Linked DNA regions of Caenorhabditis elegans. The protein of the gene in region 1 purifies or fractionates together with the protein of each later gene. This does not show direct contact. Each region holds a gene or a part of one and is shown in the gene's direction. Other genes may lie near its edges.

Region 1 (7,870 bases):
ATCATTCTTTCTAACCGCATTTTTCCAGTTTTTCTTATTTATTTACATATAGATGACCTCAATTCTTCGAAAAGTGGAATGGGTTCGAGTAGCAGGGAAATGGACGAAAATGTCCGTCATGGGGTTGGATATTTCAGACGAAACGCTGAAAATTCAGAAGAAAAAGGAGAACGAGAATCGAGTGATTATTTTAATGATTCCAGGTAAATCGGGAAATTGCGCTTTTAAAAATTTAAGAAAATTTTAATTTCAGGAAATCCCGGAAACGAAGGATTCTACGCTCATTTCGGACGAGAAGTTTTGCAAAATTTGATAAAGAAAGATGAAGATGAGCAGAAAAACTTGAAAAATCAATATTTATTCTACACAGTTTCAAGTCTCAATCATGTTCGAATGCCAGATCATTTGAAAGATGATGGAGAACATCGAAATCATGGTAATAAATACAAATAAAACGAAGAACCGTTCACTCCAGCCTTTTAACTTATTTAGTTTCGCCGATTTCGCAGTATTTTTCGCCCTTTTGTTTTTTTTTCAAATACCTAACGAGACTCATGGATCCGGTGCGGAGCGCGTTTTTACGTCGATTATAATATATTTCCAGACCGAATTTCTCTGGAGGAACAAGTCAATCACAAACTATCATTTGTGAAAGAGCACCTGCCACGTGGAAAGCAACTGTACATTTTGGGGCATAGCATTGGTTCGTATATGATGTTAAGAATCATTCCTGAAGTGATAAAAGAAGGATTCCACGTGGAAAAAGCTGTTGGACTGTTTCCAACGATAGTTCATATGGCAAACTCACCAAATGGGAAACGATTACATGGAACTTTAGCTGTAAATTCAATTTCTTTATTTTAATTTTTAATTGTAAACTTTCAGACATTGAACCATCATGATTGGCTCACAAAAACGATTTGCTGGTGGGTGGATTACCTGCCAAACTCGATCAAAAAATTTCTTGTTGGATTGAACCTGAGACATCCTAATGTAAATTTTTTTTTGAATGTCAAGCAACAAAAAACATAATTTTTCAGACTCCCCCAGAGATCGTCGATGCGGCAGTTGAGCTTGTCCATATGGATGTGTTCAGAAATATAGTTCACATGTCAAACGATGAACTTGATATCGTTTTAGACCTAGATGAGCGTCTTTTGGAAAAACAAGACGTGGTTCATTTCTATTATGGCCTCAAGGATGGATGGTGTCCAGTGCAGCATGGTATTGACCTTGAAAACGTTGTGTAGATTGAAAATAAAATTTATAGGATACTCCATGCGGGACAGACTTGGTGAGGAGCAGGTCACATTGGACGAAGACAATTGTGAACACGCTTTTGTTATTTCTGAAGGAGACATTATGGCGAGAAATGTTATAAAATATTTCGATTGATCAGTTGCTCCGAGTTTTCCGTACTTCAACCTGTGATTGCATTACCTAGAATTTTATCTTTTAATAAATATAAAAATATTTGCACATTTTATTGTTTTTCCTTTTCTATGTGTTTGTTTCTAACACCTGTTAATATTTCTTCAATTGATTAATTGATTTTATTTAAGTATTTAACAGGAGCTCTAGTTATTACTGCCAGGATTAAGTGGTGACGAAACAAACTTTATTGCTCTCTACTGAATTCTAGTCTACTTAGGCTTAGTAAACATTAAAAAACCCCTTTTCAATTCCGAAAGTTCCGTTTTTAAATAAAAAATAAATAAAACGGCGCGAAAGCATGTGCGCTCTAATGCAAATTTGAAATCGAAGAGAGCGAAACAGCAGATTGGCGTGCTCTAGTCGTTTCAGTCATTACCTCGTTCTTTTGTTTCTTTGGAAACTGTTTTATACACGAGTCTTTAAATGTTTAAAAAGATATTTTGTAATTTTCCATTTTTGGGACATATACAGATCATTTGTCGCCCCGGTATTTTCACTATCAGTGGAAATGCAGAGAATAACAAGATATTTTAACAATTCGACATGTGTTATTCTTTTTCTGAATGTCTATCTTTTTGTTAATTCATTTCAATTTTCAAATTTTCAGTAACCCACCCCTCTCATGCCACCGAAGAAGCGAATTCGCGGGCCGAAGTTGCCAGCACTTCGTGAGGAAAAATCAACTGGTACAGATGTGGCTTCAGATGAATCATTCAACGAAAGTGCTGATTTTTTGAATAATGAAGAATTAAACAATGATCAAAACGATGCGGAAAATACAGTTTTGAGCGAAGGTGTATCCACTCTTAGAATCAATGAAAACATGACAAAAGAGGATCGAGCTTGTATTTCTGCAGCACTTTTCATAAAGTAAGTATCAAAATGAAAAAAAAAACTAAAGTATTTTATAGAAAAAGAGTCGTAGAATCAATTCGAACAGTTTTTCAATCTCGTGATGATATTAATGATGAAATACATACCAGTTCGCGGAAACTGATTGCAGCATTTAAAAAGGTTAATTTATTTTAAAAATCGAAATAAAAATAATTTTAAAAATTATCCAATTTTCAGGCTGATCAGAATCGTAAGAAAAAGGTCGATTTAATGAAAGTTTTCCTTGATGAAATAGATGTCCGACTTTCAATGATTATCGAAGAGGTGACTGTTCCTGAGCATCGGGCTCGTGTCTTTAAATTAATCGCAGTGACAATAACTGAAATTCAAGCTTTCAAGCTTCCATCGGATCTCCTCGATTTTATTATCAATTTTATTAACACTGTGAGTATTCAATTTAATAAAAATCCGCATAATAAAACTTATTTTCAGTGGGGACATAGTGATAATGTTGCTGCGAGAATTAACACGACCTGCTTCATCAGTTATATATTCGAGACAGGGAAACGATATTTAACAACTGAGGGTGAATATTCTGGATTTGAAGTCAAGATTGCAGCTAAAATGTTTTTACAATTGAAGAGAGCACTGCTTGACAAGGAGGTTTGTTTCATTCAAAAGTTGATTCAATTCTGAAAAGCTGAAATTGAACTTTTTTCAGCAAACCGCCAGAGTTCCAGCTATTCGAGGCCTAGGATTCTTGCAAGAAATACCAATTCCATCGAATTGGCCAGTAGATGCTATGAAACATTCACCAAGAGAACGTAAGTTTTCAAACTTTTATAAAGGCGCACTAAATGAAGCAGCCGTAGAATTCAAAATTAAACTACCATATATTTTTTGGATCAAAGCACAAAAAAATTTATGGTAGTTTAATTTTGAATTTTGCGGCTGCTTCATTGTTTTTTCCTTGCATTTTACTGTTCAAAGTTGTTGAAAATCAGTTTTTTAATCCTTTTCACAGGAAAAACAAACATTTTAAATGAAAAATTCATACGTATTTTGAAACTTGGCCCATATAAAGAAATCCGTGCGCCTAGCATGCCAAGGTGTTGTGAAATTACTATACAATACCAGCGTTTGTTCTTTTTAAATTACAAATTTCAGTTCTTCTCCGTTCCTGTAGAGACACAGCATGGGAATGCCGACTTGTTGCAGTTCAATCAATGGTACCATTAGAAACAGATGTTAGACTACTTTCAGACATTGTCTATTATGACAAGTGTCTCAATGTTCGTGTCGCAGCACTTGAACAGTTTTCAAACCTCAGGCCAAACAAACATGTTCGCGAAAAAATTGAAATGCTTGATTTATGCCTGAAAGACCATGAAGGTTTGTTTGTAATTTATGACTAATGATATTAAATTGTAATTTTCCAGTAAATATTCGAGATGCGGCAAAGGAAGTTCTGAAGAATTGGGTTCGTAATTTGTCAACGAGATGGAGCGAAAGTCAAAAGAGCAAAGATTCCAATGATGTTGTCATTTTGAATTCTAATTCTGAATCCACAACAGGAGAAGAGAATAAAATGAAAGGATATATTCTTGCGGCCCAAGCACTTACATTGCTATGGCTAACGGGTGCTCTTGAAACATTGGAAGGTCACTCAAACTTGAGACGATTGATAACTCATACACTTGATGTTATTCGTCAAATGTACGTCTGTCAAGCGGATCCGATTAACACATTCGCAGAGGTTTTAATTAGCGATTTGAGAGAAAAAATGAAGTCAAGTGCGGTGCCGATTATTACTAAAAGTACTGTTGGATCAATTTTAGATGACAGCGAGCTTGCTGATACGTGAGTTTCTTGCTGGATTCATGGTTTTTTGCAGCAAGATTATCATTTTCAGACAAGATCCAAGCACCAATCGAGCCATGATCTTCTTTTGGAGATGTCTTGTTGATTATATTTCCGATAGAAAACGGAATGATGCTGATAAGATAAACGCCATGTCACGTTTCGTCAGTCCATTGCGCACTATGGTAGAGCATGTGGAAAAGTATGATTTTCTTACTATTTGTTTTATAAGAGTAACAATTAATTTTATTTTTCAGAATTCTCGTTCGAGTCAAGAATCTGGATGTTTATCCGAACATTAGCCAAAGAGCAGACTACGAGGATCACACTTTCGTTCTGCAAATGTCAATTGTTGAGAATATAATATGTGTGATGAGACATGCACCAACAGATCAACCTGGAGTTGATGCATACAAGCAAATGTTAATTTCAATGTTGATGAATGTGTTCTATCAGAAAAAAGTGATTGATCTCATCGTTCAAGAACTCGCACAATTTTACAAAGAAGATCCGAATGCACTGTTCACATTGTTTAATGATAGAATTGAAGAAATGAGATCGAAATATAAAAGTGGACAGTTTCCAGTTATTGAAAATAGTGTACCCGTTGGAGAGACAAAGGTTCGAAAAGATTTAGAAGAGGAAACACGCAAAACCGGCCGACGAACAATTTCAGACAAAGATGTAAGATTTTATATAGATTATTTAATTTTCAAAATTTGAAAATGTTTCAGGGAATCGCAGTTATTGATCTCTACGAGTTGAAAGTATTGAATGCTTTATTGAAAACTGGAATTTTACTTGGATGGAGTACAACCTATCAGAATAGATACAACAACAAGCTTCGCGAGGGTATTTCATCGAAAGATTTGAGTACTCGTGTTCTCTGTACTGAATGTATTGGTATTGGTGCAATCTATGATTATGATCAAGCAGAAAATACTCTTCGTGAAATGATGAAGAGCTTTAACACCCAAGATGAACCAGTTCAGTGTTCATTAATTGCTGCGCTCACTGATATTCAAATTGAGCATGGCGATCAAGTTGACGCTCTGTTCAGCTGGAATTCAAAGCAACCCAATTTTGCAGTATTTCTATCGGATATTGTTGTCAATGCACATGTTTCAGGAGAATGTGAAACCATGTTAAGAGCAGTTGAAGCAATTTCAAGACTCTTCTTGAATACAAAAATTGACCCGAATCAACAAAAATGGCAACGTACAATGGTTACACTTATGACTCGAGCTTCATACGCGATCACTAATCGCTTCTCCGCTAAAGTTCGCAGTACGATCATTGTGATGCTCAAATTCTTCTGCTCTATCAACAAGTAAGCTTGGCTTCTCATTTCCTGGGAAACTGATGAAAAAAATTAAAAAGTTATTTTCAGAAACAATCAACTTCTTCTCATTAAATCATTCCACAATTTCTTCGATATGTGGGCCAACTCTACGACACCCGAACGGTTGACTGAAAATCGCCATGAAATGGTTACAAAGCTTAAAAGATGTGCAGCCACTTTTGTTGCATTGACTCGTCATTCCACGCTTCCATTGGAAGAACAGAAGAAGGTATGCCGATCAGAGTTGAATCCGATAATTTATTTTTAGTGCGAAAAATAAGCGAAAATCTCGCAAGTCTAAAACTTTTTTGTTGAAAATTGAAAGGATTGTGCACAAAAAAATTTCGAATATTTTTCCTCCTGCCTTTTTTCAAAGTTTTAAGTTTTAAACAGTTTTTTTGGAGCAAAAATATATTTTCTAATCCAGAAAATACATTTTTTAAAGAAAACAATTTAAAAAAAAAACGACATCACTGTGCGCCGCGTCCAAAACACCAAAAAATCCCGAAATTTTTTCCGTCAGTTTTCAGTGCAATTTTCAAAAAAAAAATCAAATTTGGGGATTTTTTTGCGTTTTGGACACGGAATCACAATTCCTAGTGCCATTTTTCGAAAAAAAAGGTGTAAACTTTTACAATTGTATGAGGTTTTTAGTTAACGACAGGTTAACGACAAAAAATCGATTTTAAAAAACTCGAAAAAAACGAAAACCTAAAAATTTTCAGTTGTGCTACCGATAAATAGTTATGAATGATTTAATTTTCAGTGTAAACCAACACACGTCGACCTTGTGGATGACATATTTCACGAAATGGCTGGAGCTCCTGATTCAACATCTGTCGATTATTATATTTGTGCTCTTAACTTCGTGGAATATCAGAGTCTCAGTAGATCAGCTCTCACAAAAATTCATGGAGATTTAGAATCGTATATATTTGTAAGTATATACCAAATAATTATAAATTATTCTAATTTGAAAACATTCAATTTTTAGCTCCACGAATTAGACGGTGACAAGCATCGATACAACGAACTTCGAAAGGCTCATAGAAAGATAGCGAAAATTCTCGGATTGAACGAAGATGAAATTGAAGAAGTGCCAAGCAAAACTGACTTAAGAAAAGAAGCAGCGCCGTCCAAAACCAACAAAAGAAATGCGAACTTGATCAGCACGGATATCGCAGTTGATAATGATGTGAATATGGAAGAAGATGATAAGCCTGGCCCATCAAGACCCGCTACTGTTAGAAAACCGAGAGCTCCACGAGCAACTCCAGCGTCTGCCACGAAAAAGAAACCTTTAGTTGAAGAGGATGCGTTGGAGATTTTGAAAAGTCCACCCAGAAATACTAAAAGTGAGTTTGAACAGATCGCTTCAGTATTTGGTTTTTCATAACGGACTGAATATTTTCAGAACCACCATCCCGTCCAACTACAGCTACCCGTCCAACTGCAGTTGCAGCTCGCACAGCACCTCCAAGAAGTGCACGTAAACTGAGAAGTGAAAAATGAGAAATTAATAATTTAAATTGACTTGTGCTTTTCGATCTCGTTATTTATTACCACTTACATTTTAACCTTTTTTTCCTCGAACACGTTTCCCAATTTTTATGAATTTAAATAACTTTACCTTTTCCGCCATATTTCTTAATTCTCTAATTTCATTTCCTAGAAATTATTTATTCGACTATACAAACCACCCAACAATAATGCAAAATTCTCCACTTGGTCTCTTCATATTCATCATCATTATTACCCTACATGCAACTAAGGCATTCGATGTAAAGTTTTCTTTTGTAATTCGTTAACTTCCACAGAAAATTCTTAATTCTATCAAATAAATTCGTAGATTTCAATCGAACACCCTTCTGGACATGGCACTTACTATCGATTCTTGTTCATTTACGCATCAATCTCGGGGCTGATGATGGTTGTTTTAGTAATTTCGGCGATTATCTCGATGTGCAGAAGATACAAATTGGTGGCTAGTCAAGAGGATGAGGTAAAACATTAAAAATTGATTTTTTCCAGATATAAATATATTTACAGATTTCGGAGCTCCAGTGATGAGCATGTAAATTTAACTTTCTACTGAAAACTCTTAATTTTTCGAATAAATATCAATACGTTAAAAAATGAATTTTCGCTGCGAGACCCGTTGTGACAAACTGGTGCACCTTTAATACCTGTTTCAAGTACAATCGGAAAGTTTATAATAATTTATTATTATTTATGATTCTAATAGAAATTTTGGTGAAAATATGAAAAAAAAAGTGAGAAGCTTACACGTGTGATCAATACCACGCGGGGATCGGGGATGGAGGGGAAAAGATATGGAAATTTCTAGTGAAAATAATATCTAAATGGGCACAAAATTGAGTTACAGGGAGCAAATGTGTG
Region 2 (5,140 bases), on another chromosome or scaffold:
TCATTTTTCCCGGAACAAACAGGTTTTAAAATTGAAAATTAGCATTTCTCCGGCAAATCACACGTATAAAAGCTATTTCGATCGAAATACGAGTTTAAAAAACCAGATTGTCAACTCCATTTTGGCAAAATTCTATAAAAATCTCGAATTTCCTCTATTTTAGCCGGTTTTGGGTCTAAATTTCTCTGAAAAAAAAAAACGGTTTTCAAATAAAAAATTACCACTTTTCAGTAAAATGCCAATTTGGTTTGCAAAAAAAAAATCGATTTTCAAAAGTTTTTCCCCCTGAATTCTATCAAAATTTCGTATTTTTCCAATTTTCGCCACGAAAAATGTCTTTTTTGCAGACAATGAACTCAGAATCCGGTACTTCAAGCGGTGGAATTGTGCTAAAACACTCGGGACGGCTTGGTCACAGCTGTGTATATGGAAGTGGAACATGGTCTGAACGAAGGCAATACGAAGAACCATTTGATCAAGTCAGTGAACGAACCATCTCGATTTGTTCGACAGGACACGGTGAATCACTTGTGAAAGCCGATTTCTGCAGGGGTATCGCCACGAGAGTGCTGTAAGTTTGGGAAATTATTGAAAATTTGGAGATTTTGCGCGCACTGGATCATTTTCCGTAGAAATAACTTAAAACTGAGCAGTTTTAGATGTAAATCAGCATGAAAATCCACAATTTTGATGATTTTTGAATCTTTTTTCGAACAATTAGCACAAAAATCTATAATTTTTGGAAATTCTGACCAGTTTTCTTTTTAAAAAAGTTGCTTAAAATTCGGGGATTTTGCGCGTTCAGGACCATTTTCTGTAGAAATTGCATAAATTGGGACGTTTTTAGCGATTACAATTTTACAAAGGCAATTTTCTCTCAAAATTAGCACAAAAATCCACAATTTCCTATCTATTTTCTGCAAAAAATAGCTCAAAATTCGAGATTTTCATATATTTGTGATCTGAAACAAACTGCAAATCCAAGTTTTTTACCGTTTTTCTTGAAAATGTAGCACAAAAATGTAATTTTTGACTGTTTCTAAACTTTTTTCTCTTAAAATCGGCAAACAATTGATAAATTAACAATTTTTAAATTATTTCCCTTACAAATAGCTTTAAAAATTGTAAAAAAAAGAAAATTTAATATTAAAAAAGATTTTACGACTAAAAAAAAAGAGATAAATCGCTGCGAGACCCTAGTTACCATAACAACAACGCATCAATTTTGTTTCTTTCAGAGACGACGAGGAGGGTATCATGTACAGTGAGATTATTCGAGAATTCATACACGAAAAAATGGAACAGTAAGTAGATTTATTATTCCATTCAGAGCAGCATATTTATATTTAAATAATTGAAAAATTGAACATCGAAAGTTCGAAAAAAATGAAATTTTTCATAAAATTTTGTATCTGTTGATGAAAAAACATAATAAAGCTTTATATATATATTTTTCGAAAAATCGAAAAATTGATTTTTTTTGCAGTGGATCCCGATACGGTGGCATCGCATTGATCGCCGACAAATTCAAAGATCGAATGTCGCTGGAATTTCTGATTTTCCATAATTGTCGATATCTTCCGGCTGCAGTTCGTTGTCGAGACAATCAGATTCGTGTTTTTGAATCACAATTCGATCCGGATCAATGTACTACTGATCCTAAATGTGTTATCGAGTCATTCATCATGTAATAATATGTATATGATATCAAGAATTCCGCGTTTAAAACTTAGAAAAATCTGGAAATTGTGTTTTTTTTTCGGAATTTTCCGGGGTTTGAATGCGGAAATATACAAAACAACTCCCCCACTCCATCCGATTTCTCTCTCAATCCTCCGCTGAAGAATATTTTATGATTTGAAATTAAAATGAAATGAAGAATTTTGTAAATATTTTAATTTTTAAACTTTTAATTGTTTTTTCTTTTATTGAATTTATTCTAGTGCTCACTTGCTCGCTTAGAAATATCACTGATTTGTTATTATTTTTTAAAAACTAATTTCCCCCTTCTACAGGCTTTTCCCCTAACAAATGCCGAGAAAACAACGCGTTGTCACTACACCGTCACCACCGACTTCAGATGAAGATGAGGATATGGATTTTGGCTCGACGAGCCAGCAACAGCAGCAGCAGCCGACACGGAATAATGATGGATTGAGGTTGAGAATTTCAGTTGGAAAATTATAGATTTTTCAGTTTTTTTTTTCGTGAGAAAAATCAGATTTCGTGCACAATTTTCACATAAAAAACTAAAAAAATCAGTTTAAAATTCGATAAAAAACTTAATTTTTTCCGATAATTTCAAAAAAAAAAATTTAATATCAAATTTCAAAAATTTCAATTAAACTCCAGATTTAGATATATTTTTCTCAATTTTTACTGAAATTTCTCTGCAAATTGCAATAATTTCGATGCTTTCTTCACTGAAAAACCCATAATTTTCATTTAATTTCATTTAAAACTAATATATAATTTTTTACAGAACCTTTTATGGAATTTTCTAGAAAAAAAAGTAAAATAAAGAATTTTTCCTGTGAAGTTTAATAAATATGCACCGTTTTCTAGAAAAAAAAGAAAAACCATGGATTTTTCCGTTTTTTTTTTTGAAATTCATTTCAAAAACCGAAAAATCAGTTTTTTTTCCATTTTTCCTCAATCAAAAATAATTTTTTTAAATTTCCACAGAAAATGCAGAAGTAAATCGGAATTTTTTAAAACAAAATATGAAAAAAAAATCACAAATTTCTTCAAATTTCTCCTGAAAAACCGAGAAAAAGGCTGTTTTTTTCCTGTCAAAAACTCTAAATTTTCAAATTTTTTTTTTCAGTGGCTTCAAAAGTATCACGGAAATCATCGCCGAAGCTGACAATAATATTCCATCCGAACAAATCGATAAGGATATCGACAGTTTCTCTTCATATTCGGATATTTCTGATTGGAGAGGAATTCCAAAGTTCTTTCCATCGTTGAGCTCACTTTCACGGCGAGCTTCTACTTATGAGAATTGGGAAAATCGATTCAAAGTCGTCGATTATCTCGTTTCTTGTGCGTTTTTTGGTGGAATTTTGGAAGTATAAAATATTGCTCTAAAACCCGATTTTGAAGAGAATTTTTTTTAATTTAAAAAACCACGAAAAAGTTCAAATTTGCTATATTTTAAGAGGAAAAAAGTGCCCAAAACTCATTGATAATTTCCTGAAAAAGCAGAAAAATCGACAGTTTTCTCAATTTTTCTCAGACCAAAAAATTGAAAAATTTTGATTAGAAAAAAAAGATTTTTCGGTTTTTTTTTGTTGGAAAAAATAAAAAATTTCAAAAAAAAAGTAAAATGTTTAAAAATTTCGAAAAAAAATTGAAAATTGAAAAACCTAGAAATTTGTACATGCATATTTAGTTGAAAAATACCTCAATTTTTAAAAAGCTTCTAGAAATTTTTTTAAAAAGTAAATTTCCTCCTGTTTTTCCTCCGATTTTCGAAAAATTCAAAAATTTTCGCTGAAAAATTGTTTTTTTTCGGAGAAAATCTTTGAAAAACTTTGATTTTTCATAGAAAACATTACTTTTATTGTTTTAGACAATTTTCTCAATTTTTCGACAGAAGAATTGAAAATTTTTGTTTCAAAAAACTATTTTTCGGTTTTTTTTGTTGGAAAAAATAATAAAAAAATCAGAAAATTCTCAAAAAATATAGGACCTTTAAAAGCGGCAATTGTCTAAAAATTTCAAAGATAAACAGTTGAAAACTGCCGGATTTGCCTGATTTTTTCCGGTCATTTTCAACTTTCAGACAATTTTTTTCGCTGTTTTTAGTTGTTCAAAGTCGAATTAAAAAAAAATAATAATTATTTTCAAATGCAGATAATATATTTTCCACTTCAAAACCCCGCAAAATTTTGCAGGTTCCGGAGCTCTAAAAGACTCTGTAAGCGACTACGTGGCCGATTATTTCGAAAAAAATGAATCTGGAGAAGATCATAGTGTCGATGTGGAATTGGTGCATGCAGTCAGTATGTTTGTAATTCTTACTCAACGATTGACTGTTCAACTTCAATTATACGTATCAAAATCGATAGCATCAGCCAATCAACAGGCGAAACGTGGTACTGGAAGAGGTGGTCGTCAAGTTGATTTAGATGATGATATTGTCAAGTGGAAGGATATTCAGAGACATCGGGTAATTATAGTTTTCCAGGAAAAATAAATTGTAAATTTATAGATTTTTTAGAAGAAAAAACATTAAAAAAAAACGCAAAAATTCATGTGTCTTCGAGAAATTTTAGGTTTTTCAGAGATAATAGAAAATCCAAAATCGAAAAAAAAAGTTTGTAAAATAAATAAAAAAATCAATTTTCTTCTTAAAAAAAAAAGAAAACTCAGATTTTTTTAACTCCCAAATTTTCGATTTTCCGATTTCATTTTGAAAAAAATCGAAAAAAAAAACAACTACTGTAATCCTTAAAGGCTCACGTCCTTTTACTATAAAATCGGTCGTGCCAAGACCCGTTTAGTGAAAATTTCGCAAAATATCGCATCTGGGAAATATAAATATATAAAATTTCGTGTTTTCTGGTCAAAGCCCCCCGAAATCTGTATAGAAAAGAGCTCTTCCATCTAAAAAATTGAGTTTTTGAAATTATTATTTAGTTTCTAGAAAAAAGCTCCAAACTCTGAATATTTCTATATTTAATGCCATAAATATTTAAAAAAAAATTTCATATAGTTTTTTCTGCTGAAAGGATTTTTTTTTGGATTTTAATATCAATATAATATAATCAGATTTGTTAATCCATTTTAAAAATATTATTTGCAAAATTTTCAAAATTCAGATGATCAACTGCCTGCTGGAATTACTTGAACTTCGTGTCGACACCGTTGCCGGAACCAAGAAAAAGGCGATTCAATACGTTTTTGCGCCGGATGTCATGGAAAAGGACTTTTTGCTTCGCTTCCTTGACACAGTTGTCCAATTGCTTGAAGATCCCGAGAATATGGCTCGTTCCAGTCAACAATGGATTTCTCATTATTTCAGAATTCTGAAAGTACTTTCTGCGGACTATGGAATGACTAAAGACGTCGCCAATTGTCTATTCACAGCACTTTCTCATTCATATTTGGAAGCTGCTAATACTTTTCCGTTTAT

The links.
Region 2: the proteins of capg-1 (region 1) and dpy-28 purify together in Caenorhabditis elegans (affinity purification with western blotting; one study listed by BioGRID). This does not show direct contact.

Annotation. Positions count from the first base shown.
Region 1 is NC_003279.8:7,633,950-7,641,819, reverse strand, and holds capg-1 (Condensin complex subunit capg-1), read left to right. Parts: upstream 1-2,034; 5' UTR 2,035-2,056; coding exon 2,057-2,304; intron 2,305-2,345; coding exon 2,346-2,448; intron 2,449-2,505; coding exon 2,506-2,712; intron 2,713-2,760; coding exon 2,761-2,931; intron 2,932-2,989; coding exon 2,990-3,092; intron 3,093-3,435; coding exon 3,436-3,660; intron 3,661-3,707; coding exon 3,708-4,128; intron 4,129-4,180; coding exon 4,181-4,330; intron 4,331-4,385; coding exon 4,386-4,812; intron 4,813-4,862; coding exon 4,863-5,458; intron 5,459-5,518; coding exon 5,519-5,699; intron 5,700-6,236; coding exon 6,237-6,407; intron 6,408-6,464; coding exon 6,465-6,825; intron 6,826-6,884; coding exon 6,885-6,982; 3' UTR 6,983-7,328; downstream 7,329-7,870. Other genes in the region: F26A3.1 (Lipid droplet-associated hydrolase), read left to right, coding at 53-203, 254-436, 605-840, 886-993, 1,041-1,224, 1,271-1,395.
Region 2 is NC_003281.10:10,761,116-10,766,255, forward strand, and holds the start of dpy-28 (Condensin complex subunit 1), read left to right. Parts: upstream 1-2,015; 5' UTR 2,016-2,031; coding exon 2,032-2,159; intron 2,160-2,827; coding exon 2,828-3,045; intron 3,046-3,899; coding exon 3,900-4,174; intron 4,175-4,826; coding exon 4,827-5,140. Other genes in the region: tasp-1 (TASPase homolog), read left to right, coding at 348-571, 1,239-1,304, 1,487-1,691. UniProt on the Caenorhabditis elegans protein: Required for both chromosome condensation and segregation during mitosis and meiosis and X-chromosome dosage compensation depending on its binding partners.